Linked DNA regions of Lonchura striata. The protein of the gene in region 2 interacts with the protein of the main gene of each other region in a biochemical or structural test. Links are inferred from orthologs where the notes say so. Each region holds a gene or a part of one and is shown on either strand. Other genes may lie near its edges.

Region 1 (7,022 bases), on a different chromosome or scaffold from region 2:
CCGGACCTCGGCACGCAGCAAGAGCAGGAGACACACAGCATCTTAGCCGGTGAGAAGGGGATGAATCACTGGAAAACAGACCCAGGCACAGAGCCAGAGCAGGGAGAAGATAGTCCTGTGAGGCCTCCATCTTTGGGAGTGGGGGGATTGGAGTGATCAGAGCCACAAGGTCCTCCCTTCCCGCTCAGAAGTGACCCCACCATCTGTCCCCCAGCTCCGTAACATCCCTCATACAGCTGCAGCCCAGCTGTCCCTCAGAGTGCTCCTCGTGCCTGGACATTCACCCCCTGCCAGCTCTGGAGTTCTCACTACCCCTGTGTGCAGCAAGAATGGGAAATACCCCTTCACCCTTTTGGATCTCCCCTCCCAGCACAAACCACAGAGCAGGAAGGCAAACCGTGGTTTCCCAGTTCACACATCTTTCCAGCAGCTCGGGTGCTACAAATCAGAAGATCCCGCCAGGAAAGTCACCTTCAGAAGTAACCTCCCAGCTGGACCAAGAGCATGAAGTGCTCAGGGAACCACCAGTTCAGCAAGCTGAGGCTCCCATTTCATCTTCATCACCAAAGCAAACCACAGCTATGACATTTCCCAACCACCAGATTTTATTTTTCCTTTGGAATCTGCCATCGAGCTCTGCTGAGACAAGGCTCCCACCAATCTGCAGTGTCCCTCAGCCAGGGAGGCGAATCAGCCCATCAGAGCCACACAGAAACAAAAGCATCAGCTCCAAGGAGGTGTCACGACAGAATGACAACCCTTAACTTGTTGTTACATCAGCCCACACATTAACGCTTTGGGCCTGAGCCAGGATGCCACAGAACAGCCTCCATTCCCCTTAAAGTCAAACCCTGCTGCTCAGAGATGCACAAGTTCAGAATCCTTTTTTGATCTTAAAAAAAAAAAAAAAAAAAAAAAAAAAAAAGGCAATAAAAGCCACGTACCTTTTGCTGTGTTTTTCCCTGACAATGAGACCACAGTCCTGAGAAATTCCCCCATTTACTTTTCTCTTGTCTTTACCACAGCTCTTTCACTAAATCCTCTCTGTCCACGATGGCCCATATACAGATGAACATGAAATTAGTGTCTCCCAAATTAGTTTTCTTGCACACAGTCCTAGCCCATTTTCCTCAACAACATATTATGATGTGGAAGGTTCCACCTTTCTCCCAGGAAATGCAAGCTTCTAAATTTATCTTTTGGATAACTAAAAAAAGAGACAGGTCTAGCTTTCACAATGCGGGGTCAGCAGTCCCAAATGGCAGAGTATTTGCCCCAGAAACACACAGTTAATACCACAACAACCACCACAGAGCAGTACACATATGGTCATTACAGAGCTAAGTATAACTTGACAAAGTACCTCGCTTTTAATGAGGCAAAAGGCCAATTAACCTTATGAGAATGCAGTGTATTAACATTGAGTGGGGAGCCTGGATTCCCTGGAGGTACACCCTGTATATCCTCATAACACACCAAAAACGAGGAATTCAAACCCTTGCTGAGGGCACGGCACGGCGCTCAGAGCTCTCCGGGTTAACACCGTCCTTCTCCAGATTTTCTGACACAGTATCCAGCATTCAGGCTGGATGAAGGGCCAGCCGTGCATTTTTGTCAGCTCAGATCCAAACCCTGGGAAAATGCAGGCATTGTCCTCGCCTGGTCCCCACCGCCCAGCCCTTCGCAGGTGTTCACCTGCCAGAGGACAGCAAGGAAAATCCAGGAACAAAAGCGGGGACGCTCCGGCGGGCACTTCCCGTTGAAGTCATTTCATAACCGCGTTTCCAGAGGTGCTGGAAGAACAGCACAAGCCACCGCACGAGAGCCGTGATCGGAAACACCGAAATGCGCGGAACGAACAAAAGAAAAAACAACTTCCCCCCCTCGCGAGGCCGTTATTTTGGAAGACGCAAAACTTCCCCGCTCTTAGGGCGCACCTGGAGCGCTGCCCCTGTCCCAGCCCCGCATCCCGGGCCCGGCCCCCTCCGCAGCAGGGAACGCGCCCGGGGCGGGGGTCGCGGCCGGAGTGACCGGAGCCCCCGCAGGCCGGCAGCTCTCCCGGCAGGGCTGCCACGGCCGAGGCCCCCGAGGGGAGAGGCACCGGGGCGCTGGGACCGCGCTGAGCCCGAGGGCTCCCGCGCGGCATCACCGAGCGCCGGGCGGCCGCGGGCTGCGGGCACTCCCCGCACCGGGCCCGGGTCTGCGCTGCTGGCGCGGCGCCGGGCTGGGGCTACCGGCCCTTGAGCCGGGCGAGCGAGGAGCGCCGGGGCCGGGGAATGGGGGGAGCGCGGCTGCGGCGGCCGGGCCGCGCGGAGCTCATCGTATCGTATCGTATCCTATCGTATCGCACCGCGCCGCATCGCATCGCATCTCCCCCGGTGCAGGCGCGGCTCCCGGGGCCCACCGGGGGCGAAGTGGGGGGATGATCGCCGGGCGCCTGTCCCCCGTAGGTCCCAGCGGTACGGACCTGTCGCCCCGCGCCTGCCCGGGACGCGGGCCAGCGCTCCCGCCGCCGCTCCGCCATCGCCCCCCGCCGCCCCCCGCCGCCGCGGCGCGGCCCGTACCGCAGTCGGCGCAGAGGATCCGCGCCACGTCCCGCTTGAGGTTCTTGCCGCTGGTGTCGAGCGGAGCGAAGGCGGTGCGGAAGACGAGCGGCTCCTCGGTGGGCTCCAGGAAGAAGATGTAGCGGTGGTTGCGCTTCACTTTGAAGCAGGGCGCCTTGGAGCCCACGCTGATGAGCTGCTCCCGCTGCAGCCCCCCGCTGTTGAGGGGCCACAGGTCGAGCACCTTGACCAAGACCCCCCCGGCGGGCCCGGCGCCGCGGCTGTCATTGCCGCCGGCGGGGGGGCCCACGGACTGCACCTTGCCCTCCAGCACCACCGCCGCCGTGTACGCCTGGTCCTGCACCGACTTGAGGCTGGGCGAGTAGCAGGCGAGGGAGACGCCGAAGAGCAGCATGGAGAAGCCGGGCGCCGGGTCGCGCCTCATGCCGCCGGCTGCCGCTCGCTGCCCGCCGGCCCTGCGGCGGCGGCCGGGCTGCGGGGCCGGGCTGCGGGGCTGCGGCGCGGCGGGCGCGGCGGGGCGGAGCGGAGCGGCGCGACGCGGGGCGGCACGGCACGGCACGGCACGGGGCGGCACGGCACGGCGCGGGGTGGCACGGCACGGTACGGCACGGCACCGGCACGGCACGGAGCGGCACCGGCACGGCACGGCAGCGGCACGGCCTGGCGCGGCACCGGCACAGGCACTGGCGCGGCGCGGCGCGGGGAGGAGGAGGCGGGATGCTCCCTCAGCTGCCCCTGCCCCCGGGATGCTGACCCCCGCACCCCCCCGGAAAGGTGATTCCCTGCCCGGGGACTCCCCCCGGGGATGCCCGCTGCGGTGGGGATCCCCGCGTCCCTGGGGGTCCCCGGGGATGGAGGCAGATCGCGTTCCCTCCATCCGCCCATGGAGCCAACCGAGGCGTTGGCAGAACCCCCCTTTTCCCCGCAGAGGCGATCAAAGATGCGCTCATTTGGGGGCGGCTGCAGGTGACACGGGGGTTCCGCGATGCGCAGGGCCCGGGAGCCGGGGATTCCTCTTTCCCGATGGTTTTATGGAGCTGGGAGATTTGTGCCCGAGATTCCCTGCACACCTGAAGGAAAGACATTAACATAGAGACAAACGGAACACGCAGTGGCCGAGGAGACAAAGCCGCCTTTCATGCCTGTTCCTGCTGCCTCTCTTTAATAAACAAATGCTTTTCCCTGCAGTGGCTTCCAGGAGGAGTCGCTTTAAGCTCCAAAATGTGCTTGTTTGGGTTTATTCCCGAGGCTGATCCTGAAGCATCTGCACTCGCAAAGCCTCGCTTGCCCAGGCGGTGCGAAAGGGAGCTGAAATGCTCAATTAGCAGCAGCGGGGGATTTTGTGGTTGTTGCTGCACTGGATTCTGTGTTGAAGGGGAGCGGCCATAGTCCCATCCCACGGAGGTGACCTGGAGGCAGAAGGGCGATGGCTCTGGGCACAGACTGCAACAGTCCCTGTGCTTTAGGGCCCCGAGGAAACCCCTCAGCAAACCTCAAGGGATGAGTCTTCGAGCCCACTCTCTTTGAGTGAGAGCAAAGGAGCACAGATGGCAGGACCTGGATTTGCTTCCATTTAACATAGCGCAGCCAGAACCGTCAGGAAAAACGGGAAAGGAGCAGAGCCGCTGTGCCCAGCCCAGCCCAGGCATGGGGCGTAGCCTCTGCTCGTGTTTCCCCGGCTCGGGGCGGGAGGCAGCGCTGTCCCACCCTGGCACAAGAGGGCACAGCCCCAGCACACGCACCCGGGGCTCTGGTGCCAGCCAGGACCGCTGCTCTTCCCCTCTCCGGGACTGCTGACAGCTCTCGGAGCAGCGTTGCCATTGCAGGGCCGTGGTGCACCGGGAGCCCCGCAGCGTGCCCACAGCAGGGCTCGGGGACCATTTACTTCTGGTGCACATTTCCTCTCGCTAAGCGTGATTCTCTGCGGCTTTTTGGTCTCAGATGTTTCCGAAGGCTTTCTCTTTCCCCCTGACTGGTGACCACGCAGAACTGCAGAGAAATGCAGGTGGAGGTAGAAGGGACCAGAAGTGTTTCCCACGGCAGAGGGAAGAACAGTATTTTAGATTCAGGAAGCTGCTCAGAGGAGCAGGGAAACCACCTGACTTCTCTCTTCTTTTGACATAAATCTCTGTGGAATTTCCCCTTTCCCTATCATTTTGTTCAGACAGCAACTGAGGTTCTGCCTGAATAGGAAGGATATACCCGATAGCATCACTTCATCTGGAGCTCGCCTGCTCTACCCTGCCCCTCAGCAGAAAGGGCAGTTTCATGCCCAGGCAGCTGAGTTGCTAATCCTTGTCTGTTTTTGCAGGCTGAAATCCCAGCGGGACCACCGCAGTTCTCCAGGTGAGTAATTCAGTGCAAGATACCTGTGAGGCCTCTGGGGAAATTTTGAAAAATTCAGGTTTTCTTTATCTCTGGGGTATTTTGAAGTCCCGAACACTTAGGCTCAAACAAGGGCACTGGTCACATCTGCTTTCAGCAGTATTTTTCCTGTTGTTCAACCTAACTCTTGTGAAGTCAACTGGTTTTCATCACTTGAGACAGCTGCTTTTCTCTTAAATTTCAGAAATGGTTTAGGACTAAATCCCTCTCCCCCCATTATGCAGTTTTTCCCATAAAGAAAAATCATTATTTTCTATAGGTCCTTGGGCATTTTGACATATGAAATAAATAAAGCAAGGTCCTTGGTACAGTTACCAGAACAACCTGAACACTGGCTTTGAGAGAATTAAGCTTAAATAACCGATTTTAAAAATACTTTCCTTCAGACTAGGGTAACTGTTGGCAGGGACCCCAGGAAGGTCTGTGGTCTGTTTTAATTTACCCAAAGCCCACCTCTCCTCTACCTCCCCACTGTGAAAACCCATCATACTTGCTATCCTGGCAGAGATGGAGAATCTGAGCTCAGCCTGGATGCCACCCCAGAGTTCAGCAGCACCATCAGAGATTTTCGTTCCTCAGGTAATTGTTCTGGGGGCTGTTTTTTCTTTTACCTCCTTTAATTTTGTTCCTGCAATTTCCCAGAGATGCCTGAACACAAAGCACCTCTCAGGTCTCTCTTGCCCTCTGCCAAGGGAGCTCCTGGCACAGAGCCCTGCCTGGTGCAGATGCCACACAGGGCAGTGTCCCAGTGTCCCTCCCTTCTTCAGGGAGCCCTGCAGCTCTTCTGCAAGGACAGGTGTTGACCTCCAGCAGCACAGGCAGGCGAGCTGTCCTTGTTCAGCATCCTCCACAGGCTGCAGATGCTCAGCCTCCTCTGTGTCAGTTGAAGGTCTGCTCCTGCAAATCCCATGTGGGGCTTTTGGTGTAAGGAGGAACAAAGCAGAGTCACAGAACGTGCTGAGCTGGAAGGGGAAGCATTGAGTCCAACATCTGGCTCTGCACAAGACATCCCAACAACTCACCCTGTGCCTGAGAGCATTTTCCAAATGCTCTAGAGCTCTGGCAGCTTTGGGGGCATGCCCATTCCCTGGGGAGCCTTGGCAGTGCCCAGTACCCTCTGTAGGAAGAACTTTTTCCTGATATCCAGCCTAAGACAGGTCCAGCCATTCCCTGTGTCATCCAGCATGGGGCTGTGCTAAGCTCTTGCCCATTTCAGGCCAACCTCAGAACCATGAATGCATTGCAAGGTGCCCCCCCACCTCCCACAGCCCTTCCCAGCACCAGCTGTATCCTGCAGGGAGCCCCAAGCCCTGCTGGTGTGCAGGTGGTAAATACAGGAGACACCATCCCATACCCCAGCCAAGGGAACATTGCTTTCCCTCTCTATGGGACATTCCTGTCGGAATCTGAGGTATTGATGATTCCCAGATTGTAAAAAGTCTCTGTCTTTCTGCCCCACTGCCAAAGCAGAAGCCATAATTGGTCTGTGCTGGTTTCCAGGTTGTTTATTCTGTTTATCTCTCACATGTTCTGCTGCCCTGCCCAGCTCTGTCCTGCAGGGCAGCGTGTGGGGCTCTGCCCTCAGTGGGATGTTACAAACATTAAATACCAGAAACTCCCTGGGCTGGATTTACAATCACGTGCCAATATCTGTCACCTACGTTGGACAGTGTGTCCCCAGCCTGAACCAACAGAAAAATGCCAACACCACAGTGAAACATGGGGGGCATGAAGAAGGAGAAAAAGGACAAGACACACCCAATTTCCTCCATCTTGTCCCTTTTGGACCTCTCATCTAGAATCCTAAAATTTTACTTTTGCGCCCGTGCCACACTTAATTATTACTTATATCAAACACTCAGAGTTTGTAATTCATCCTGTTAGGTTGAAAACTCTTTTCCATGGACAGAGATCACAGCCAGTGTCTCTGGGGGCTCTCTCCAGGGGGGTTCCTGACCCCTGCCAGGGTCCCAGACCTGCCAGAGGGAAGCTCTGGATTCCCACAATTCCTTGCCTGCAATAATCAGGTGTTTTACAAAAGCCCCACAAATGCCATCAAATCCATTGCAAACA
Region 2 (7,992 bases):
TTCGCTGCCGTGCAGGCTCAGGAGAAAGGCTTTCCCCTTCATGAGCTGCTACTGCCAAGTCTCATTTGCTTTACTCATAAGGCATGTATTTCAGGTCCTTATTATTACTGTTTTCATGTTAATTACAAGCACAGCTCCTAGTGCCAAATTCCATACACATAAACATCAATTACCATCTCTTTTTTTAAAAGCGAAGTCACAACTCAGTCACTGGGGCACGCAGCAGTGCCGCTCTCAGCAGGGCAGGTGCAGGCACGGAGCCTGTGTGGTGCAGCCCCGTGCTGGAGCTGCCCCAGGATCCCCGGGGATGCCCCAAGAGCGGCACCAGAACCAGGCTCCTCTGCCCTGCAGCAGCGCTGGCTCACAGTGCTCTCAGGGGACAGGCAGGGACAGCAGCAGGCTGCCCTGCCCACCATGCAGAGATGTCCCTGCAGACACCTGAAGGGCTGTGTGGCACGGGAGGCACAGCCAGGACGTGCTGAGCCCACAGCAGCGCCCGCTCCCCTTTGGTGAGAAGGCCCAGACAGAGCGACAGAGAACCCTCGTGCAAGGGCCAGGTTCTCTGATGGCAGTGACGGGCTGAAACTCCCAGGCAATATTTATCGTGCCTTTGGAAAGGCACTCCAAGCTCAGCCTAATTTTAACCATCAAATAGACATCGTGGCAGAATAAATGGGAGAGGTGCCAAGGAGGGCTGTAGCAAAGGAAAGGAGCTGCATCTCTCTGAAGGCGTGTAGCATGTCCCATCCGACACGGCCCAGAGAGGAGTAAAGGCATGAAATTAAAGACTGCCCATACATCAGCCTGAGCATGCTTCTCACTGGGAAATAAAAAAAAAATTTTTTTTTTTTTTTAAATGGAAATTTAAAAAAAGAAAAAAAACTGAAAAGATATTTGAAGTACAATTATTCTCAGAACAGCTGAATAGTGAATACTTCAAACAGGACTAAGTTAATTTGGCTGTAATTATTTAACAACTCACCAACCCCACATATCAGAAAATGGAGTTAATTTATCAGCTATTTTCAAGCAGAACAAAGACTCGCCAGCTTCCAGGTAACAGCCCAAGCTGTTTGGCTCACGTGACCCCGCCTGAGCTGTGCACTGCAAACATTATATGCCCAAGCACGGAGACAGAAGAAATCAGAAAACCCCAACCTGTTTACATATTTACACACAGGATAATGAAATCAAAAGTTTGGCCAAGAGCTTGCTTGCACGAGCAACGGCATCACCATCTCTCTCGATGCACTGAAAATGAAGGCAGCGGCCAGAGCACCGTCTTATTGCCCCCCAAAAGCCAAGAGAGCCCAAATTCCGGGGGATCCTAAACACTTGCAAATCATGGCTCCCTGTCCAGCCTGCCCTGCTATTCCAGCAAGCACCAAGTAGCGAGGCTCAATCATTACTAGCTGCCAGTGCCCACAGCAGTGCCTGAACCTCTCCAAATAGGAAATGTCACTCCAACCCCTCTATTTTAATAAACCGATTTTCTGTTTTGCACAGTGCAGGGCACAGAGGCTTTTCAGCAGCACCGATCCAGGAGGCTTCCCCAGAGAAGACAGGAAGGCAGGCGAGCAACCCTGGACCGATGCTTTTTATTTTCACTGGGGTATAAATCCAGCAATGAAGGGTCTTTGTGATCGTCCACGCCAACAGCCCGGTCCGAGCGGTGGGAAGGATTGCTGGAGAGCACGGGAGCATCCCAGTGGGGACGGCTGCTGCCCAAAACCGGGGCACAGGCTACGGGGAAAGTGTGAGACAGAAAAGTATCAAGTGAGGCAAAGCGGCTGCCTGTAAACAGGGAGGCAGGCAAAAAGATACAGAGAAGCAGCGCCTGTGAAACGAGGAGTGCCATTCTTCTTCAGCGGGGATTTACCGATTCAAACCGCAGGAAGAGAATATACAAAAGAAATCAGCAGCTCAGCATTTCACCCCTCCCGATTTCGAGGGTTAGGAAACAATCACACAGCGAAAAAGTAAACTGTGTCCCAAGATCAAAAACCGCCTTCAAAGCCCAGTCAGACAGGCGAAGCCAGGACACGCTCCTTTCGCTTCTCACAAAACGCATCCTTCCTTCTCTCTGTTACATAAAGCCCCAAAATATAAACTAAATTGTGACAACGAGGAGCTGTTGCACCAATGCCGCCCAAACAGCATAAATTTTGCATCACCGGGGAGGGAAGGGAGGGAAAAAAAAAAAAAAAAGAAAAAAAAAGAAAGAAAAAGAAAAAAAAGCGAAGTTACAAAGACTGAAGAAATTTCCTTTTAATGTTTTATTCACAGCAAAGGGGCGATGCAGCGGGGGGCGATTCCCCGTGCCCTCCCCGGGCGACTGAGCCGGCACATCTCGTACTACGGCGGCAGAAAGCGCTGCTCGGATGCCAAGAGGAAAACAAAATTCAAGCCAGCGCTGCAAGTTTCCCTCCAGAAAGTTAAAAATTCCGGGCAGACCCTGCCGGAGGAAGAAGCGCCGATTCCAGCGTTAATCTCCAAGCCGCCCGCTCGCCCTCCCCCGAGCGCAGACAGCTCGGCGCGGTGTTTGCGCCGCGGGGCCGGACGCGCGGGTGTGCGGGGCACGAGCGGCGCCCCGGCCGCCCGGCGCTCCGCGATGCCAAGTCCGGGAGCGCGGCCCCGTCGGGACGGCGGCGGCACCTGCGGGGACACGAACGGCGCCCGGCGGCGAGGGCGGCCCCGGGGCCGGGCGGGGACAGCGAGCGGGACGCGGAGCGCTGCTGCGCGGCGGATCCGCGACCGCCGGCCCCGCTCCGCTTCCCGCGGGGGACTGTCGCCCTCTGGCCGCCGCCGCTCCGCGGGACCCGCACGAACTCCCGCACCCCGCGCCGGGCACCGGGACGCGGAGAAGTTGTCGGGAAGGCGCCGCTCCGGCCGCTGCCGACGGACGCGGCCGCTCACCCACCTGCCTGCGCCGCCGCGGCGGCCCGCGGGGCCCCGGCCGCCGCCGCCAGCACGCAGCAGCTCCACCACAGCAGCCCCCCGGCCGCCGCCGGCATCGCGCCGCCGCCGCTGCCTCAGCGCCGCCGCTGCCCGGCCGCCGCCATCCCCCGCGCAGCCTCCGCGCTGCCGCCGCCGGCTCCCAAAAGTTGCCGCCGCCGAGCCGCCGCCCCCAGCGCCGCCCCTCCGCGGGCGCGCCGCGGCGCCGACGGGGCGGCCGCGCCGCTGCCGGGCCGCGGGGCGCTGCGCCGCCAGCACGCGCGGAGCGGAGCGGCGGGAGCGCGGCGAGGACGAGGAGGAGGAGGAGGAGGAGGAAGGAGCGAGGGGGTGAGGGAGGAGGGGCGGCGGGCCGGAGCGAGGGGCGGGCGGGGCCGGCGCCGCGCGGGACCGCCCCGCGCCCCCCCCTCCCCACGCGGACGCTCCGCACCTGCGGAGCCGCGCGCCCGTGCCCGCGCGCCCGGCCTGAGGGGCGGCCCCGAGGAGGCGGCACCGGGAGCGACCCTGCCCCGGGCGGGCCCGGGACACCTCCCGACACAGCCCCGAAACGGCAGCGGCCCCAGCCGAGCCCGTCCCGCCGGCGGCCGCGGCCGAAACGTGAAGAGCATCCTGGGCAGCGTGAAGCTCTCCGCCGTGGGAGCCCCCGTGCACCTGATCCGGACAAGGACAGGGCGTGTCACTCTCCTCCCTGGGTTCTGCCCCGAACACCCGCTCCCCTGAGTGCTCGCAGCCGCTCATGCGGCCATGAGCGCCCCAGCGGCGCTCTCAGCACCAAGGCGAGTGCAGGGCTTCCCAGCGCCCAGCCCAGGCAGCTGGGGAGCTTTAGGGTGGAAGGGCTGCAAGGGACGGAGAGAGGTTTTCAGGGCAGCAGGGCGGGTCGGCAGCACCTCGGAGATCACTCTTCACTGTGCTGCTGGGTGGACTTGGCACTGAAGTAGCTGATGAGAGCTGCGTTTTCCAGCCTGCCTGCAGCTCTGAGGGGCACAGAGGTGTAATGGCATCTCCCACCAATGCACTCCCCATCCTGATGTCCCCTGCCAGCCTGGTGGCACCTCCTAGATGCTCTGGCGACAGCTGCAGTGCCAGGGTCCTGCAAGCATCAGCCCAGTACCTCCCCTCACCACCACCCACCCCAGCACAAGGGTGAAATGCCAACACAGACATCCCCCCTAACAGATCCTGGGGAACAGCGTCTCATCAAGACTTGTCTTGGAAAGACAGACACTGAAAATCTCAACATCTCATCACAGGTGGGAGACAGCAGCTGCCATTTATCACTCTTGAGGAGTTGATTGGCATCCTCAGTCGTAACTGAATTCTGCGAGCTCACAAGAGAAAAACACCTTCAGTTCTTCACTTCATGTCCCCAAAATGCATGCCCTAGGTTTTGAAGCCTGCTTACCCCGATCAAGCCCTTCTGGAAACACGAAGGAACTCTCCTTATGCCTGTCCAGCTCTTCTGTGCAGTACTTCCCGGAGTGACTTCCCAGTGATGCTAACAGCTCTACCTGGCACCCCCAAGCAGTTAAGGTGGAAGACTGCAGCAGCAAGTGCTTTGCGTCCAACCAGCTCCAGTGGAATGGTTTTCCCATAGGAATTACCCTCAGAGGAATAACCCCAGTCCCTCCAGCCAAACTGCCTCCTTTCCAGGGAAGCCAGAGGCTTGCATGCCTTTAAGAAAAAAAGAAAAATATCCCCAAATCAAGACAGTATTTCAAGTGGGATTATTGCTCTTTGGCCAAAGATCTGGAAGTTTAGCTGGAACTTACTAGGCAGGCCTTGCAGAAAGGAGGCTGCAAAGAAGGAGGTGTTGTTGCCCTTGGTGCTGCATCCCCCTGCCTGCATCAGCGGTGGCCAAGGGGCCATGAAACTGGCAGGCAGAGGCAGGTGAAAGAAAAGGCAGCCAGGAAGCAGAGCCCTGACATGCAGGGTCTTCAGCCTTTCTTAGGTGTTCCCTGAGAACACCACATGGGAGAGGCCAGCAGGAGAGGCTGGGAGCCAGCCCGTGCCCTTGCTGAGCAGATTAGCAGCAGTGCTGATCATCCCTCCTTGCCACCCCCAGGAAAGAAGCGTGATCCCTGCCTGGCGCAGAAATGGATCCAGCGAGAGGCTGTGAGGCGAAACTCGCTCAAATATTGAACTAGAAAAATTTTGCTCGATCTGCCTCTCAGTAAACAGTGACTAATTGCTCTGGCTGGAGTTGCTGTACCTTCTAGATTGGAAGGTGCAGATGGAACAACGATAGTGAAGGCTCCTTACCTGACACCGGCTGTACATTAATCACAAATGTTTGCTATGCAAATCTTGTCATACAAAGCAATTATTGCTGTTCCCATACTGACCTCATGTTTATTTATTACATGAGCTCTTTATTGGAACCTTGTCTGGTCTCTCTTCCCATATAAGCGTATTAGTATGTGGCTTCCAAAGGCACCCAGCTGAGAAATTGTAGATTTATTTGTGGCGTTGGAGGGATGGCACACGACACGCTGACTGCAATGCAGAGCTGAGAGGCTCAGCTCTTACACCAGTGGCTCTTCATGCAAAATATTCTCACCCTGAGGTCTCTTGCTGGGATGAAGGACACTTTCTAACCGCACAGGGCTGTGACTCTGGGTTTGCTCTGACGCTGCAGTATTAACCGATGGTTAATGGAGACTGTCAGCCCGAGGAGCCGCACAATAAAACTCTGCTTGGGCTTCTTTAGGGTCTGCTCAGTAAAAGTAAAATTTTACACAGTGCTTCGTCCTTGGCTTTGTCACCTTTGCCTACCTCCAGAATGATGAGTTGCAAATAGATTTAACTGTGCCACCAAGTAAGTTGCAAGTGCGCTTTTGAACGTGGTGGTGTTTGGGTAGCTGGAGGGATGGGTGTCTTTAAGCACCAAATATTCTCTTGCCAGAGGAGTTTTCTCCATGTGATTTAATGTCGGGCAACACTGGCATCCGGTGGGCAGAGAGTTTCCTCCTTAACAGCTTGTGGCAGTTCACTCCCTTGATTTTGTCCTATGGCTTCTCAAGATGATCATTAAATGCAATTTCTACATTAATCTGGGCTTTGTTTTCCCCCTTCCTTCAGTTAGGCTGCAAAGCAGGCAGAACAAGGTATTGTCTGTTTAGTGTTTTCTTTTAAACACACCCTGCTACACAGTCTGGGATCTTCTGAAGTCAGCTGCCCCTCCACGCTGATCAATTTTGCTGTGCAGGGACTCTGCCTGCCTCACACCGCAGGGAAGTCTAAGTCTCTGTTCCTCTCTTGAGCGGGACAGGAAGGGTCTCCATGGTTCCTGCTTCAAACCAAACCCTCCTGTCTGACCTCTTTGGGCCCCTTCCTTGTCCACAGACAGTATTGGTGCTCTTTAACTAGGGGAAACTGTAGAAAAGCCCCCAGAGCCTGAATGAAACCAAATCCCTCTTACACCCCTCAGCCCTCCCTGCCTCTCTCGCTGTTCTTTCTTCTGCTCTCACCTCTGCTTTCAGCTCTTCCCAATGTAGCATCATTTGCTGATGCAATTAATTGGAAGCAATAATTGCTTCCAAATCATTAATAAAGCAAGTAATTAACAGCAGGCCTGACAATGAACCTAGCAATGCCACACTGTGTACTTTTCCTCCTCTTCAGCATCCACCCCTTCCTTAGGATCTCGGCTGGCTTTCCATCCATTCGACAACTTGCATGCCCCAGTCAATTTGAAATATTCCTCACCCCCCAGTATTTCTATTTTATGGTGCAGCTGTAGCTTTTGCTAATTGTTCATTTAATGACTGTCCTTTTTTTTTTTTTTTTAAAGCAATATTTTTCTTGAGAAGTTGAATTTAAAAGGGGCCATAAATGACTAATAGTAATTAATAAAAATGAAGAAATAATTGGGCAATGTCTTTAAATGTATATGCCTTGGGTCAAATTCCTAAATCCCTGTTGCTGTTAGATCAGCTTGGGGTTTTATTCTCCCCTGAAGGAGCAGCAGTGCCCAAGACTGTCAGGGAATACTCCAAGTGATGGAATAACTCTCCAACAACCCCAGGAAGCTGAGGGCTGGGGGTATGTGGTGGACCATGCTGGCAGCACGTAGCTTACTGCTGCTCTCCTCCCTTGCTGACAGGAGAACTGGCTGTGCCAGGGCAAGAGGGGCTTCGGGGACCTGGTGGACAACTTGATCCTCTTGAAAAACACCGCCTTTAACCCGTGGAGAGCCCTGCCACTTCCACAAGACTGTTAGAAAGGGATTACACATTTAAGGGCAAGAGAGTTACATTAAAAAAAAAAGCAGCAATAAAAGGCTTTTGTGGTTCAGAGCATAAATCAGCCTTTTACTGCTTTCCCTTGCAGGGAGCGCAACCGCAAGCGCCTGACTCGGGGATTTTTATATCTAGTGGTGAAATATCTGGGGGACAGCAGTGCCAGGGAGCAGGCACAGGACCCTGTGCCTGAGTCAGCACTGCCCAGCCAAGGATGCTGCAGCATCCTGCTGGCTTCAGGAGGGAGCCTGAGTGTGACGGCATGGAGTCAGGGATGTGATCCCGTTGTGCAAAGCAGGACTTGGAAGTGCACAGAGATGGTTTTGAGGGCCACTTCACCCCTGCTCCCCTCTCCTGATGATATTTAACTGCTGGTGGTTCTCCTTTGCCAGTGTAGACTAGCTGAAACTCAGATCCATTGCCCCAGCTCATTACAAGGTCACGTTTTACAAAGTAGCACAGCCACCCTAACCAAAAGTGTGCTGGCTAATTGCCTGCGGTGTGAAATTAGGTTTGTGGTTTCTGTGGGATCAAGTGTGGCTTCCTCCTCTCCTCCACAACCTCCTTGGTTGTGTTCCCAGTTGCCGATGAGCATTTGATGCGCAGAAAATACCTCAGTTTGCAGCTGAAACACACATTCCAAAGCCCTGGCTTTGCTTACACCCAGGATGGTGCAGAGGCAGGAGGACTGGAGGAGCTGGGACGTAGCAGAGCAGAAAATGCCGCGTGGGGCTGAACCTCAGCAGGCAGTTTGGGAGTTGTCAGGCAGGGTAGGTATGAATGCCCTACAGGTAGGGCATTA
Region 3 (7,974 bases), on a different chromosome or scaffold from region 2:
CTGTTGTTCTTTGGTCCTTGGCAAAGCATCCTTAAAAGGAGCCCTATGAGCAGTTTCAGTCCATGCACAGTGGTGAGAGCACTGTACATGGAAAGGAGGATGTCACGATGGCAGATTTTCTGCAGGCAGTGCCATGTGTGACATGGAAACACAGGAGATTCGGTTTCCTGGGGGTCTGTGGTGCAAGGGAGAGAGGAGTCTGGGCTGAGTACTGATTATCTGAAGGGTGGTAACTTGATTGATGGTCCAAGTTGTGTCTCACTGTGGTTTGTTGGAGTTTGGGTGGGGGGAAGAGGAATGTTTTCATTCTGGATTCAGGGTCTTTTACCATAGTAGTAGTTTAATAAAGTTCTTTCCTTTTTTTTTTAAGCTTGAGCATGCTCTGCTCTGTTCCTGATCACATCTCACAGCACTCATCTGGGGAGGGTGTATTTTCATGGGGACACTGGCATTGCGCCAGGGTCAAACCATGACAAGTACCCATAAAACTGGTGTTTTGTGTTATTTCCTTGAGCCTTTTGGGAGTTAAACTTTAAAAAAAAAAAACAAAAACAAAACACCACAAAAAAACCCACCTGATTCTTTGCAAAAACAGTCCATGAAACGAAACTACAGTTTTCTAAGGCTTTCAACCTGTTATTTGGCAGGAATCCAAATCTCAGTCAGAGATCAGCTTCATTAGTGTAGACTCACCCTGCATTTTCCTCTAAGCCAAAGAGATCCAGGCTATGTAGGAATCAGGAATAAAGCTTTGCACATGAAGCTAACCTTACTGCAAACCGGCAAGTAATTTCTTGCCTTATCCTGCTGTATATACCACCAATGGGCTACCCCAGTAAAACTTTGTTACCTTCAAGGTCATGCTCCCACTCGATTTCTTCCAGGCCTCCCTTCCAATGAGCCAGTTGCTGACTCTTCTCAGCCACTCATCTTCAGCCGGGGCAGAATCCGTGTTTGAGCACAGCACGCCACTGCTAGCTTGTCACTACAGAAATATAAAAAGCTCAAGCCTGCAGCTGCAGTATAAAACATTTCTGCATTTCTTTGAGAGTAAGGGGAATTATTCAGTTTATACTTTTATCTCCAGACCCTAAGTGAGAGACCATCATCAATCAGCTTTTAGCGCAGCCTCGAGAAAGTAACGTGCTCCCGTGCCCACCCTGATGCGGCTGAGCACACGGGGTTTAATTTTGCTCCAAAAGATGCCGGGAGGAGCCAGCCCGTAAGGTACAGGATTGCAGCATGGCAGGCAGGCGGTGTGCTGGCCCTGGCTTTGGCCACCTGTGGAGCGGGGCCGGGGAAGCTGTCGGGGCGATGATTCAGCGCCCGCTTTCGTCCTTCTCCTCGGGGAACAGCGGGAGCCGCCGCAGGCGGGGACAGCGCGCCGGGAGCCGCCCCGCTCTCCTCGCCGCAAGCCCCGGAGCCCCTGCGGAGCTGGGGGGCTGAAGCAGCTCTGCAGGCTTCCCTGCGGAGGGGGAGGAGGGGGAGGAGGTCTGGGCACAGCCGGCTGCGTGATGCTGAGGCAGGCGGGCTGCGCGCCAGGGCTGGAGGTGCGGCGGGGGAAAGGACCCGCAGCGGAGCAGGGCACTGCAGCCTGGCCGGGAGCCAGGGAGCACGGGCACGCTGCGGCCGGGAGCCGTGCGGGTGTGCCTGCCTGCCTCCTGCATCCCTCCTGCCCGCCTCCTGCATCCCTCCTGCCTGCCTCCTGCATCCCCCCTGCCTGCCTCCTGCATCCCTCCTGCCTGCGTCCTGCATCCCTCCTGCCTGCCTCCTGCATCCCCCCTGCCTGCCTCCTGCATCCCTCCTGCCTGCCTCCTGCATCCCCCCTGCCCGCCTCCTGCATCCCCCCTGCCCGCCTCCTGCATCCCCCCTGCCTGCCTCCTGCATCCCCCCTGCCTGCCTCCTGCATCCCCCCTGCCTGCCTCCTGCATCCCTCCTGCCCGCCTCCTGCATCCCCCCTGCCTGCCTCCTGCATCCCTCCTGCCTGCCTCCTGCATCCCTCCTGCCTGCGTCCTGCATCCCTCCTGCCTGCCTCCTGCATCCCCCCTGCCTGCCTCCTGCATCCCCCCTGCCTGCCTCCTGCATCCCTCCTGCCTGCCTCCTGCATCCCTCCTGCCTGCCTCCTGCATCCCCCCTGCCTGCCTCCTGCATCCCTCCTGCCTGCCTCCCTCCCGCCTGCCGGGCGGAGCTGCTGCGGGCGGGCTGGGCCGGCTGGTGGAGGAGGAAAAGTCGGGGAGAGAGATGCGCTCCATCCTCAGTTCAGCCAGCCGGGCTGGGGCAGCCAGGGTGAGAAAAGCCCTGCGGCAGCAGGGTGAGAAAGGGAGCATGCCCCCACATGCAGAGGAAATGTCAATTTCCCTGTGTGCATCCCCCGTGCAAATAGCATGCCATCCCTCTGTCCAGCTGTGTGGTGTTCTGCGTGTTCGGTTTAACTTCGTGGCAACCCTGGTAAGAAAGGTGCAGGGCCTCCACGTTCGTTTCTGTTCAGCACAGCACCAGCAAGATGTGAGCCACATCTTGCCGTATCACATAGTTTAAAGGAGAGCAGATAAGTGTAGATAGAATGGAGGGTCATGAAGATTACTGGAGATTGAACACAGGCAGTTTGCCAGGAAGACCAGTGCAGGAAGATGCGGACAGGACTGGGGATTAAACACAGGCTGAGAGACGTGTCAGCATGGAAAATTCTCTTACTGGAAATAGGAAGGTTGAAAATTAAACATGGATAAAGAAGGAAAGTAATTTAAAAAAAAAAAAAATTCTGCCAAGCACTTAGATGCTGTAGTATCTCATCTGTGCAATGAATAGAATATTCCCAGCTGGTTCTCAGCTTGCACTCCGCTTTGAAGAGTGATGCTGTAGCTTCACACTTGAGGAACAACTTGGGTGTGCGAGAGTGTGTCTGGTTTTCCTAGATTTAATCAAATGAAAGGTACATCCTTTCTCTAGAAACCGTGCTTTACTTGTAGCCACAGACCAACGCACCTGTCACAGCAATTCTGCTGTTTTTTTACACTTTGTACAGAGGTTGTGTTGTTAGTGCTGTTTGAAATAGGTTTTGAGATACTCGAGAGAGGCTGCACTAATGCAGGGTATTACCAGCAAAAGAGAACATGTGCTTTGTAATAAGAGAAGCCATATATGTAAATATGCAGTGCAAGCTGTTCTTTCTGTCTGAGGTTGCTGATCACATCATTAACCTAAGGACCAGACACTTCAGTGGTAATGTAGGCTAGATTGTAAGATGATTTATCTTTTTACATTCCTTCAGAGAGTGTTATCACTGGCTGTGCTTTAAGGTAAATGCTCCAAGCACTTGGTTGTAGTAGCATTGTGATTACTTCAGTTGGCTACGACCGCCTCACAGGAAGCTTTGTGATCAGACATCCATCAATTAGTCCTTGACATGACAGTCTGTAAAAACACTATGGGATTCATTGAGATTTTGATAAGTCTTTTCCATGCGACTGTTACTAATGTTCTCATGGAAGGGGGGCTGAGATGGGAGTGGAGTTGGAGGCAGAGAGAGAGCATGGGTAGAGCCAGATGCCTCTTTTGACACCATCAAAAATAGGTAACTACAGAGGAATTTACCTTTCATGTGCCTAAACAAGACACCAGCAAAAATTAGTTCAGGGCAATTTTTAGCACTTGATTCTTTGTTTCCTTATGCATCCTGCAGCCATCTATACTAAAGAGAAAGGGGGAGTCTCACCAGCAAAATTTCAATGCAAATGTTTTAATTAAGTTCAAGGACCTGGAAATTGTATTATAAGCACCTTGCCTTTCATACATGTCTTTATTGTTACATGGGTGTATTTTTCTGTGAGAGACAAAAGAGACTGGGAATAGATCTGATTCTAGTCTTACTTTCATTATGTTAACTGGACTGTTGATTTACCCCTGTATTATACTGCACTGGTGGAAATTGTAGTGTTTTGTATTAGTAAAGGTGAGAAATGACAGCCAAATGAAGTGCAAGCCTTTAATAATAATAATAATAATAATAATAATAAATAAAATAGTTTGATTTTTTTTTAATTTTATTTTTTTAGTGTAAGGTGAGTGAGGATCTAGTCTAGCAACATGTGAGCTCTTGAAAAGTGCATTCAGGAACTGACTTTACTGTGAAGTCTGGGGTTTTTTGGGTTTAGAAATGGGTCGGGAAAGGAGGTTGGGAAATAGAATTTTAAAAAAAGCAAATCTCCTTGCAACAACTCGAATGAAAATTTATCAGAGATGGGAATGGATTGGTGTTTTTTATTTACTCTGCTTGATCTAAGATGCATTCCAGCCCTATTCCTAGGAAATAAAACTTACTCAGGAGCTTGGAAAGAAGAGCTGTCTCTAGGTGTCAGGCAGGGAGAAACTGCTTCTGGAAAGAGGTTTTCCCCCTGGGAGAGATTGAATATCAGACTGAGCGAGCCCAGTCCAACCCAAAGAGCTCCCACCGATCTCAGTCCCTGCTGGAGGACTTTGCCATCGATGGCCGCCGCTGCCTCTGGCCGCGCTTTGCCTGGAGAGAGGGAGTGGGTGGGTGAGCAACTCCTGTCCGCTCCCTCCCTTTGATTTGATGGCCTTTATTCCTCCTAATTGGATAAAATAGGAAGTCACTGACAGTCCTGCGTTGCTGTGTGTACTGATTTCACTCAGAGCAGCCTGCAGAGTGCGGGGGGTGGGGTAGGGGAGGAAGGAGCGAGTCCGCACATCAGGGAAACAGGCTGCGAGGGGGCTGGGGGAGCGGGGCGGGGGGGAACGGAGGAAAGTGAATGAGCGCTCAAGGAGGACAAAGAGGGAGGGGAGATAAAGGGAGTTACCACCGTCTTGGCATCGCTCTTGCTTTCAAACCTCTCTGTAATGATATTGTTTGCAGTGATGCTCAGACAGCGAGCACCTGCTGCTCTGTAATGATTCAGCCTCTTTCAGCCGCCGCTGTAACACGACAGGATGCTGCTGCTACTGTCACTTCTGCCGTTGCCGCTGTTGTTAGAGATTTTGCTTTTGCTCCTTCTACCGCATGACAATTGTTTTCCTCGTCTAAGCAGATACCAGCCTCAGATGCTCAAGGTGAGAGTCTTGCCTTTCGCTCTGGGCTACTGGTTTACTTAATCTGGTCAGTTTGTTCAGTGTTTGTGGTTTTCTTTATCTCATTGACCCTCCTTACCCCTATTTTGTTTTGTTGTGCTTGCTTTTGGGGGAATGTTTCTTCCCCCTGAAGAAGAGCTGAAATTGCTTGAGAGGCGTTTAAGGAATTATAAAAGTGGCTAGCAAACAGGAGCTCAGTAATTGCAAAGCTATTCTCACTCCAGAGAAGCAGAGACAGTAACAGAGGGCTTGGGGACACAGGGACTGGCGGGGGGGGGGGGTCTAATTTTTCCTGTGCATTACTCCTCTCTCAGTTTGGATGATGTTGCTGAGCTTCGACCTTTTATTGACTCCCACTCTGTGATTTTTGCAGAGCACTGTGACTATTACTACCGTCTCTTTTTGTCTGTGTCTCACAGTAATGGACTGTGATAGAGTTAAGGCCTTTTGGAGGTGAGCTGTTTGAGAGCTGATGCTTAAACATGTCTGAAGTAGCTGCCGACACTTTCCCCAGCCCCTCAGCTCAGCTGAGCCCTGACGCGTCCCTCAACGGGCTCCCGGATGAGGAGAACATGCCGGGGACCCAAAGAGAGGACAGGAGGGTCCAGGGGATAGCAGGCCTTGCCGCAACCTGCTGTGCGTGCCTGGAGGCCGAGCGACTGAAGGGCTGCCTCAACTCTGAAAAGATCTGCATCGCCCCTATCTTGGCTTGCCTGCTTAGCCTTTGCCTCTGCATTGCTGGCCTCAAGTGGGTCTTTGTGGACAAGATTTTTGAGTATGACTCTCCTACCCACCTTGACCCCGGGAGGATAGGACAAGACCCAAAGAGTGCTGTGGATCCTACAGCTCTGTCTGCCTGGGTGCCTTCGGAGGTGTATGCCTCACCCTTCCTCGTACCTAGCCCCAAGAGCAAGGCTGAAGTGACAGTGCACAGTGACAGCTCACTTGTACCCTCCAAACCATTCCTCCAGCCTTCTCTATATAACCGCATCCTAGATGTTGGGTTGTTGTCCTCTGTCGCACCTTCGCTGTCACCACCCGCCCTGGAGCCTACCACAGCATCTCAGGCACAAGCAACAGAAACCAATCTCCAAACTGCTCCAAAACTTTGTAAGTAAAAACTATGTGTTTCTTTGGGTTTTTGTTTTTTTTTTTCCCCTTTGCAGAAAAAAAAAAAAAAAGGCACTTAACTGTTCCCTGACTGTCTACAAGGAGGACATGTGATTGACTTGCAGAGCTTAAGCATGCTAAGAGAGATATAGCATGGGTTGTCTTCTGAGAGCAGCATCTAGAATCCTCAGAACTTAATTCTGTCATGTGCAGGACTTCATCTGGGATGTCTGTAAAGGGCTAGTACTGCCTTTTTCTCTGCATCCACTTGTAGGGAAGTATGTGATTTGTTTCAAGGGTTTATCTGATGGCTGTTACACATAGTGTATTGTCCTTATAAATTGGCTTTGTCTCCTGTGCTGGATCTTCCATGTGTGTTCTTTGCCTTGCCTGCAGAGCATTTCTGGTGCATCCTTCCTGAAGTCTGTGGCTGGCAAATATCCCTGTCATCCTCATGAAACTCTCAGAACAGTGAGAAAAAGTGACAGTAGATTTGAAGCAGTTAGAAACCGGGAACTATTACTTTAGCATCTAACTTACGATCTTTCTCTTAAGAGCAAAGCATACATTTCTCTGTACCTTTCTCTATCTCTAGGAGCTGCTTCTTGTTTAACTTGTTTCTCATATGTTGCCTTACTGCCTTTTGTGAGGCATTTCAGGAACGCATTCTTGCTGATGTAGAAAGAGTCAATTTCCAAATTAGACTTCGTTCATTATAAAAACAAACAAAAACAGGTATCTGTATTATTTTCTTAGTAGTGATCATAAAGCATCAAAATACTGCATTACTCAAGTGCCATTTCTTTGACATTCATTATTTTAACCCACCAAATTCAAGGCAAACCAAGCCAGCAATTCCTGAGCTGTGCAAAGCTGTGTAACTCTAGTAAAAGGGAAGACAGCACAGTCTTCTGCTTGAGAGCACAGGGCTGAGGTTTCCTGTCGAAAGCTGCAGTGATCAGAGTGAAAAACTGCACTCCTCACAAATTTCCATGCAGGACCCCATGTCATTTATTCTCTCTCATGCCTTCCCTATAATGCCATAGGTTGGCACGTTGAAGATGGCACATACTGGACCTCACCCTGGAGCTCTGAAGTCACCAGAAGTTCACTTCTAAGTTTAGCCCCACTAAGACTGAACTGAGTATAGATATGTGGCATTTGGATTAAATCTAATATTTCAGGCCAACACCCTTGCCAGTGAAAATGAGTATAACTAGGGTGATTTCAGAGGAGGTCCTTTCAGCTGAGAGTCAGTCTTGAACAGCAGTTCCAGAATCAGTGAAAGAAAGTTCTGAATATTCCTGTAGAAACCCATCTGCCTTTTGCCTAGATGATGGGTGGCAACCATCCTGCAGATTAAAAGTAATTTGCTAGAAGGAAACAGTCTAATAGAGAAACTCTACTGTACCAGTAAATGATAGGGAGCCTTGTCTGTGGTGTTACTTTAATTAACCACCTTTGCAATTAAATAGAACTATGCTAAGTGAGCTTTCTTTTAAATATTGCTGATGCATAAAATCTTTTTTTGTAGTGCAAACGTTCTGACATTAAATATATGACTTCTTAACACACTTTGCTTCATAAAGTGACCAGAGACCACTATTCAGTCATAATTGCTTCAAGAATCCCTCTTGAATTTCCACATATGTGGCAAACCTTTTTCAAAAACATGCTAACTCCATCTCTGAAGTAAACGAAGGGGTGGAGGGGCACAGAAAATATTCTTTGGAGCTGTCACTGACAAAAAGCCATTATCTGCATTTAGATCTGCTCACA
Region 4 (7,866 bases), on a different chromosome or scaffold from region 2:
GTTTTACACTTCATCCATTTGACTCAAACTGCTCTTCAAAATCCTGTAGCAAAACGGGTCTGAGACTGAAAACATTGTTTATTTCCACCCTTTTCATAAACAATCCAGAAGAAGCAGCGCCTCAAAATGAACTTTGGCAGGAGTACTCAGCAAGGTTTGCTGCTGGCACAACGTGGTAGGAAAGCTGCCAACACGAGGTAGGGATTTATAAACAGGTTGTCTTCTTCACATCCATGACTGCATCAAGGAAAGCCAAGGAAGGGAGATAATCCAGCCCCATCCTGTGACTGGCTGGTTTAGCCACTGGTCCAAGAGAGCTAACCCACAATCCTGTGCTTTTGCCATCACTTTCTATACACTGTGGAAATACATGTCCCAGAAACAGGATGGAAGGTGGAGTTCAGGAAGAAATTACTAGAAAAGAGGCACCTGGATCAAGTAATACCATAAGCAACCAGAGCATCTCAGCAGCAGAAGCATATGACTCACTTAAAGAAAACCTGGCTTGCTGCTGGCTAAGTAAAACAGGAGAGCAAGGTCATTAAATGAAAAATAGGAATACAAGTTGATGATAAAAAATCCCCTTGGACAAGGAGAGTCAGGATCACAGAAAACAGTTTCTCTGGCAAAGGAAGTGAACTCCAGACTCAGGAATACTATATGCATATTAGTTTTTGCACAAGACAAGTGTTTAAAAAGGTATCCAACTTTACTAGCATTTGCTACAGATTATTAATACTGACTTGTTAACTCATTCCTAGTAAAATGTGAATGGAATCAGAGAACAATTTCATACACCTGAGGCACTCACCAAGATGGAAGAGGAGTTTGAAGCCTGCTCTGAAACTCTCAAAACGTGGGTTGCCAAGAAGTCCCACCCCTTCCACATAATCTAACAGAATAAAAAGCTGTATCTTGTTTTTAAAACACACCTTCCTTTACAGTCTGCAAGGAAAATAACAGAAACAATCCTAAGTAAAGACCCTAAGTAGAGCTAAATCCATTACCTTACCACTGAAGCAGATAACCTAAGCAATATAAATAGTAAAGAAATTATTTTGAAAGATACCATCGCTCTTATCCCAGAGCAATGTTCTTTTTACATGGCACTGAACCATTTTATTCAGTGTGTTGGCCTTCCAGGCTCATTCTTGTTTCTCATCTCTGGAAGACAGAGCAGAAGAGCTGGCAGGGCACATAATTTGTCTTCTTGGTGCGCATGCATGCTTCAGAAAGCTTTTCCTCTCCATTTCCCTCCTACTACATGTAAATAATTCTCCCTACTGTCTATCTTTGAAATTTAGTAGGGTGCGAGGAGGCGCTAGAAGAAATTGTTCAGAATGCTGAACTAAATTACTACCAAAACATGCAGCAAAAACGAAAACAAGTGCTTGAGTCAGTGTCAACTGTGTTATTGGGAAGTCACTACACATCCCCACATGCTGTAATGCACTTCTCACAAACATCCTTTCTGTCCTTGCCTTGTAACAGCAGGAACCAAAGAGTCATCTTGGTACCAAAGCATGAGAAGACAGTTTGACATTAGCAGGCATGTACACAGCAGTCTCTACAGCATTCTTGCTCTGCTACTAAAGACTTAGACACACCCCACTAAAAGAAGTGTGTCTAATTTCTGAGATGTCCTCAACACTGCAAGTGTGCAGTCTGTGATAGGAATGCTTTAGCCAAAGTGCCTTTTAACATAAAAAAATACAAAGAGAAAAACATGAAGTTGCAATAAAATAACAACTCTTAGTTTAACAGTGGGTCAGGTGCTCAGCAAGCATGTTCTGTTTTGGTTTTAAAGCTGATACTGCTCCCTGAACTCAAAAGCTGTGATAACACTGAGATTTTTAAGAACAGATTAATGCTGTGCTCTTGTTTTGATAGATACTTATATGTCAGCAGTCACAGAAGATATTTACTTTTAGACTGCTGGTTGCACTTCCTTACTCTTTTTGCCTGAGCTCATTCTATTGAGCAAAAGAAAACGTGTATTGTCAGAGGCAGCCTTGCTTTATAAACAATGACAACTCTTTCTCCACTTAAAGCCAAGCTCTCCAGAGCTGATTCAGGTCTTTAGGATTTGAGATGCATCCGCTCATCTACTCTCAACATGCCTGTTAAGGCAGACAGGTTTCAGTTGATCTTACGTCCCAAAACTTGGCAGCATCTTAATATAATGCACAAATAAGTGTGTGTGTGTGTGTGTGTGTATATATATATATATAAAACATGATTACAAAGGAGATTTGAAGGTGTGTGGGTCCTTCTAAGAGAGGTTACAGAGACGTGTACATGAAACATTTCCGGTCTCAGTTTACAGCAATAAGAACAGAAGTGGACAGGCAAAAACTTCAACTGAGAATCAGATGGCAGCTATAATACCCCAGTCAAAACGAAATTGTTTACTATGTCAGGACCGACACAGTCTCACAGATCTACACCGGCAAGTCACAAACGCCTCGGCAAACAGTCGGACAAGGCACATGTTACCTTTACCTTTGTAAACAAAACCAGAGCTCGGAATCGCCGCGGTGACAGCGACCGAGCCCCGCGGGTCCCGCTCCCCAGCGGTGCCACCTCGCTCCCGCTGTGGCTGGCGGGCAGTCCGGATCCCCGTAACTCCGGGTCGGGGGCGAGAAGCTCCTCCGAAGGCGAGCATCCCCCGGGACGTGGCGGCCGGGGCAAGCATCCCCCGGGACGTGGCTGCCCCGCTCCCCCCGCCTGCCTCTCCCCTCCCCCAATAAACCCACCACAACAAAAGAGGGAGGGGAGGAAGGCCGATCGCGTCCCTTTCCCCCTCGCCCCGGCCGCTCACCGTGCTGGGTGAAGACATTGAATCCTCCCTCTGCGGAGCGCCCGGCCGCCTCTCGCCGGCGGCCCGCCGGCCTGGCCGCGCTGCTCCCCCGCAGACCCCGCGGCTGCTGCGGCGGCGGCGGCTGGTGCTGGAGCCCCGCGCCCGGCTCCCCGACGCGGCCCACCTGCTGCCCCATGGCGGGCCGCGCTCACATCCCGCCGCTGCCGCCGCTGCCGGCCCGGCAGGCGAGTCCCGCTGCTCCCGCGGCCGGTCCCGGCGGCTCCCGCGGAGCTCCGGGCTGCGGCTCACGGGCTCGCCCCCGCAGCCCCCGCCGCCATCTTAAACCACAGAGCGCCGGCGGAGCGGGACGGAGCGGCTCCCGCAGCCGCCTCCGGTCCGCCCAGGGAGGGGAGGGAGCGAGGGAGGAAAGGAGGGACGCAGGAAGGGAAGCTGGGATAGAGGGAGGGCTGTCCCCCCAGCCTAGACCGCCCTGCCGCAGCACGCAGAATCCCAGGATTGTTTGGGTTGGAAGGGACCTCTGTGGATCTCCCGCCCAAGGCAGGGTCAGCTGGAGCAGGTGACAGGAACGCGGGTTTTGAATATCTCCAGAGAGGGAGACTCCACGCCCTCCCTGGGCAGCCTGTTCCAGTGCTCTGCCACCCTCAGCATAAAGGAGTTCTTACTCATGCTGAGGTGGAATTTCTTGTGCTTTCGTTTATGGCCATTGCTTCTTCTTCTGTCTCTGGGCACCACTGAAGAGCCTGGCACCATCCTCTTGGCACTGCCACAGGCAAGGCAATCAGTGGGGACGGGCACACGAGGGAATGCACATGGACATGGGCTGAGGGACAAGAGCCCACGTGGGTGACTTGCCAGATCGCACCCCAGGAGAGGCCTCCCATCTTGACCATGAGCAGCAGCCCAGGAGAATCACAGAATCTCCTGAGCTGGAAGGGACGCATCAAATCTATCTCTCCACCCTGCACAGGACAGCCTCAAGAGCCAAACCCGAGACTGTCGTCCAAATACTTGAGCTTTGTCAAGCGATGGCTGTGGCCTCAAGGCTGGCCTGAGCAACGCTGACCCTGTAGGCTACAGCCAGGCTGGTTTGCCTACAAAGCTGAGCAGGCATGAGGATAAAGCCAGGGCCGTGTGCCCAGCTGCAGAAGGGAGCTGGGCTTGTCCTAAGCTGTGCACAAGGGGGTTGTTGTAGCCTAGTGAGGGTCAGCCTCTTCTCCCCAGCAACCAGGGAGAAGGCAAGAAGACACAGTCTTAAAGCTGTGCCAGAGGAAGTTCAGGTTGGACTTTAGGATTAATTTCTTCACAGAAAGGATGATTAGACATTGGAATGGACTGCTCAGGGAGGTGGTGGAGTCACTGTCTGGAGGTGTTCATGGAAAGACTGGATGTGGTACTCACCACTCACTGGTTGACATGGTGCTGTCAAGTCACAGGTTGAACTCGATGAGCTCAGGGTTCTTTTCCCACCTAATTGATTCTGTGATCTCTGTGGGTTACCAGGCTTCAGGTTGATTCCTTGGGCTCCTGCCAGGACCTGTTGTACTGGCCAAGTGCATAGAGGAGGAGGAAATCACTGCTGTGTGAATAACACCAGGAGTGGTTGGCAGCAGCATCTTGCTGGGTGGCTGAACATACACTCAATTCTGTAACTAATTAGTAAACCAACATCTTTCACCTTCTGTAATACTAGTATAAAGCACTCCAATCAAAGCAGAAGGCAGGAGGTTTTGTCCTGAAAGATAATGGTGCTCATCACAGTTTAGAGGACCTGAGCAGTTGGAAGTATTTCTCTCTCCATGCTAGCAACTATTTCAGCAATGTCTTAATAATGTTGCTTCATCCTGGATGAGCCACAGTGCTGCTCCCCTCAGATGCCTTTACCACTGAGAACTGATGTGACAATGACAAATTGGCTTGGTAACACTCAGAGCCAACCAGCTTCCAACCTCTGTCCTGTGGTGGGAAGGTGAGGAGACATTCCTCTCAGAGCTTTGTGAAAGCCAGCTTTCAGTGACAGGAATTCTAAGCTCATGTTCTACCTTCCCAGGGAGTTCATACTGGTGCATGTACTCAAACTGAGCCCTGCTGCAATAATAATTCTGCCTAAAATAGGGGTGGCTCATCCCACTGGACTGATGTGTACTCTGTCACAGGATGGATGGAGTAAATGGGAATGAAGAGCACATGGAGCCAGAAATGCCTTAACTCGCTAAATTAATGCACTAAGAACATTTGGGAGATGGGGAATTACAAATAGACCTCCTAATAACACATAACAAAACAGTTCTTAAAATAGTGCTGGGAACATCCAGGGTGCAGCATGGGGTACATGGTGCCAAGTCCCAGACCTTGTACGGACATTGTTATGTGCATATGAGCAAAGGGTATTCCTGCAGAATGGGCAGTCTCGGGCAGAACCAGCCCGTGGTAAACTCTTCAGTAGAGCTATTTCCTGGTCTCATTCCAGCTAGAATTTGCAGGATTTGGCATTTATAAATGGTTTGCCTTGTAAACAAAATATATGTTCTCTGGAGACTGTAGAGACAACAAACACAGAACTCCCTCGTGCCATTTGCAGTTGCCACGTAGCATAGAGCCACTCTTTAAAAATCAACAGAAATACTGTTTTTCTTTCCTAATGCTTTTTACTTGCTGATCATGAAGAACTATCTAGAGGAAGGCTATTAGTATTTTAAAAGAAGACACAAGTGTCAAGAGACTGTTATATGCAAGTGCACCAAGGAGAATTGAATTTAAGCACTGTTCTTATTCCTCAGATCTCATGATATCCCTCATTTTCTCTTCCAGCACCTTCTGCACATAGAACAGCTTGCTATGGGTTACATTAATTTCTAGCTGCAGGAAACTTGTCTGACACACAAACCCATCTTTCCTGTGGATGGGGTTAGGCAGGGGCTTTCTAAGGCCTGTTGCATGTGGAAAAGGGCAGCAGCATGGGATTTTTGCTGTTGTATAATAGGTTTTAAAGAGCAAGCTGTACCCTGTAAAAAAAGCAAACTCTAACCATTGCTTGATGTGTGCTAAACAAGCCAGATCATCACACTGTGCCCCACTTGATCCCCTCAGCAACATCATTTTTATGGTGTCATACAAACAGGGGATGCCTTGGCTGCTAACAGCTCTTCTGGTCACTGCTAAAGAGCAATGGGGATATAAGCAAGAAACTCCCCAAACTGAAAGCAACTCTGTGCTGCTGAGTTACTGATGACACTGAGCCACACCGTTCCATGTTGTTAAAATGGAGGCTAATATGTATTTACTTCTCAGAGTGTCATGGTTATTAACCATGCAAAGCCAAGAGGTAAAATCTGCACCAATGCTATCTATTTGTATTAGCTATGATATTATCAGCCTCATGAAGCATCAATAACAGGTTGTTTTTCAAGGGTAATTTCTTGTGAAGAGGTCTGGCACCATGCATTAATGAGGTATCAGTTACTGTCCTGGCGATTTTGGGTTTCCAGTCAATCTGCCATTCATGAGCTGTTCAAGTAAGGGGTAAAAAAGACCAAGGCAGCACTGAAGTTACAGTCATGTGGCTGAGAAGAAATGTGGTATTTCTGGAAACACTTCTGACTTTAAATATTAATGGTATATCCATTTCTTGAAGCTTCTTATAAGCACTGACAATGCATTTGCTCCTCATCCACAGCATGCTACAAAAATCATACTCTAAAAATTGCTGGCTGAGCAGTCTTACGTCATACTGGGCATGACAGCCTAACTGTCATCTGCCTGAAGTATCAGTTCTGTGCCAGAAGGAGCCTGTGGACAAATTGGAGACTCCTGAGCCTGACTGTTGAATTAACTGGGCAGTTTCTATTTGTAATTTAGGAAAAAATTAGCTAGAAGGATGCTGGTGATAGCTTAAAAATTAATTCTAGCAGTAATCTTTGCTCTTCCAGATCATAAACCCTCTGTACACCAAAGAGAAACAGATGTGTGTGAAATATTTGACTGGTATTTAGGATGCAGATGTATTAGTTAAGGTATTTGGTAACTGTGTAGAAGAGCAGAGGCCTGATTGAGGGATACATGTGTACAGTATGTCAAATTTTTGTACCTTCATTCAGTTCCAGAACAAGTTGTGGAGCTCAGGACAGCTGCAGCTTCCCTTGGGTGTCTGCAAGGCACCACATGGGTACTGCCCACCACATGGCCCAGGGCAGTGCTGCTCTGTGTCCATCTGCCACTCCAAGCTGCAGCCACCTGGTTTCTGGGGTTCAGCCACCATGGGGTTCTGGAGAAACGCTTCAAAACAAATAAGAAAGAATTAAGAATATGATAAAAGCTCTGTGACACAAGGTTAGTTACTCTGCCGTAAATGTTGAAAGCTTGTAAGTGCTGAACCGTATCGAAGGAGGATGTTGTTTCTTGGTGTAACCTGTTCAAACACTCACCCTTTCATCTCTGACTGACAGCTCTTAAAATGTCTGCCCAGATCTGTCCTGGCAAAATAGTTTCACTGTTGTCTTAAAAGTTATTTTGAATCACTACTATGATTTAAACTAGCATTTATGTACAGTGCATGCAGGATAGCTTGGGGTACTCTCATGCCTGTTCAGTGAGAGTCTGTGAAGATAGAAGCTTTCTGGGGAAGTAACAGATTTTGCCCAACAGTACAGAAGCATTCACATGCAGCCCTTGGCAGATGAAATTTCTTCTGTCAATAACTCTCTTCCACCCTAGATAAAAAAACCTACACATACACACTCCCACAAATGTGTATCCCATCACCCAAATCATCCTCCTCCTCTGTGGAAGGAGCCTATTGTTCTGTTTTTTCTGCTGCTTCAGCATTGTTTTCATTCAAACCACTCTTCTGATACTGCCACAAGTCTAAACATTGCTACCAGCCAGGAGAGCCAGAAAAGGAAGAGCTCCATGCATAGGGGGAAAAGGGACTGCACACATGGTGTTGTAGTGGAAAAGATGAGTCTGTACAGACAGCCAGCTCACTACAGCATCTCAGGCATCCCCATTCTTCTTTTATTTGGCCCTGTGTTTTGTGGTTAGGTATGCTG

What was found. The genes of interacting proteins can lie anywhere in the genome.
Region 1: the proteins of ERBB4 (region 2) and NRG2 form a complex in vitro, tested with the Homo sapiens proteins (2 studies listed by BioGRID). The link is inferred for Lonchura striata from reciprocal best matches to the Homo sapiens genes ERBB4 and NRG2.
Region 3: the proteins of ERBB4 (region 2) and NRG1 form a complex in vitro, tested with the Homo sapiens proteins (2 studies listed by BioGRID and IntAct, with this or other methods). The link is inferred for Lonchura striata from reciprocal best matches to the Homo sapiens genes ERBB4 and NRG1.
Region 4: the proteins of ERBB4 (region 2) and ABL2 form a complex in vitro, tested with the Homo sapiens proteins (2 studies listed by BioGRID and IntAct, with this or other methods). The link is inferred for Lonchura striata from reciprocal best matches to the Homo sapiens genes ERBB4 and ABL2.

The regions. Positions count from the first base shown.
Region 1 is NC_134617.1:15,390,400-15,397,421, forward strand, and holds the start of NRG2 (pro-neuregulin-2, membrane-bound isoform), read right to left. Parts: upstream 2,989-7,022; coding exon 2,565-2,988; intron 1-2,564. Other genes in the region: uncharacterized protein LOC144247139, read left to right, coding at 2,987-3,038, 3,088-3,164, 4,876-4,910, 5,455-5,528. UniProt on the Homo sapiens protein: Direct ligand for ERBB3 and ERBB4 tyrosine kinase receptors. Concomitantly recruits ERBB1 and ERBB2 coreceptors, resulting in ligand-stimulated tyrosine phosphorylation and activation of the ERBB receptors.
Region 2 is NC_134610.1:34,848,715-34,856,706, forward strand, and holds the start of ERBB4 (receptor tyrosine-protein kinase erbB-4), read right to left. Parts: upstream 3,015-7,992; coding exon 2,921-3,014; intron 1-2,920. UniProt on the Homo sapiens protein: Tyrosine-protein kinase that plays an essential role as cell surface receptor for neuregulins and EGF family members and regulates development of the heart, the central nervous system and the mammary gland, gene transcription, cell proliferation, differentiation, migration and apoptosis.
Region 3 is NC_134642.1:4,914,104-4,922,077, reverse strand, and holds the start of NRG1 (pro-neuregulin-1, membrane-bound isoform), read left to right. Parts: upstream 1-5,109; intron 5,110-5,458; exon of another isoform or gene 5,459-5,504; 5' UTR 5,505-5,567; coding exon 5,568-6,195; intron 6,196-7,974. Other genes in the region: uncharacterized protein LOC144248186, read left to right, coding at 4,948-5,109. UniProt on the Homo sapiens protein: Direct ligand for ERBB3 and ERBB4 tyrosine kinase receptors. Concomitantly recruits ERBB1 and ERBB2 coreceptors, resulting in ligand-stimulated tyrosine phosphorylation and activation of the ERBB receptors.
Region 4 is NC_134611.1:2,545,174-2,553,039, reverse strand, and holds the start of ABL2 (tyrosine-protein kinase ABL2), read right to left. Parts: upstream 3,012-7,866; 5' UTR 2,997-3,011; coding exon 2,822-2,996; intron 1-2,821. UniProt on the Homo sapiens protein: Non-receptor tyrosine-protein kinase that plays an ABL1-overlapping role in key processes linked to cell growth and survival such as cytoskeleton remodeling in response to extracellular stimuli, cell motility and adhesion and receptor endocytosis.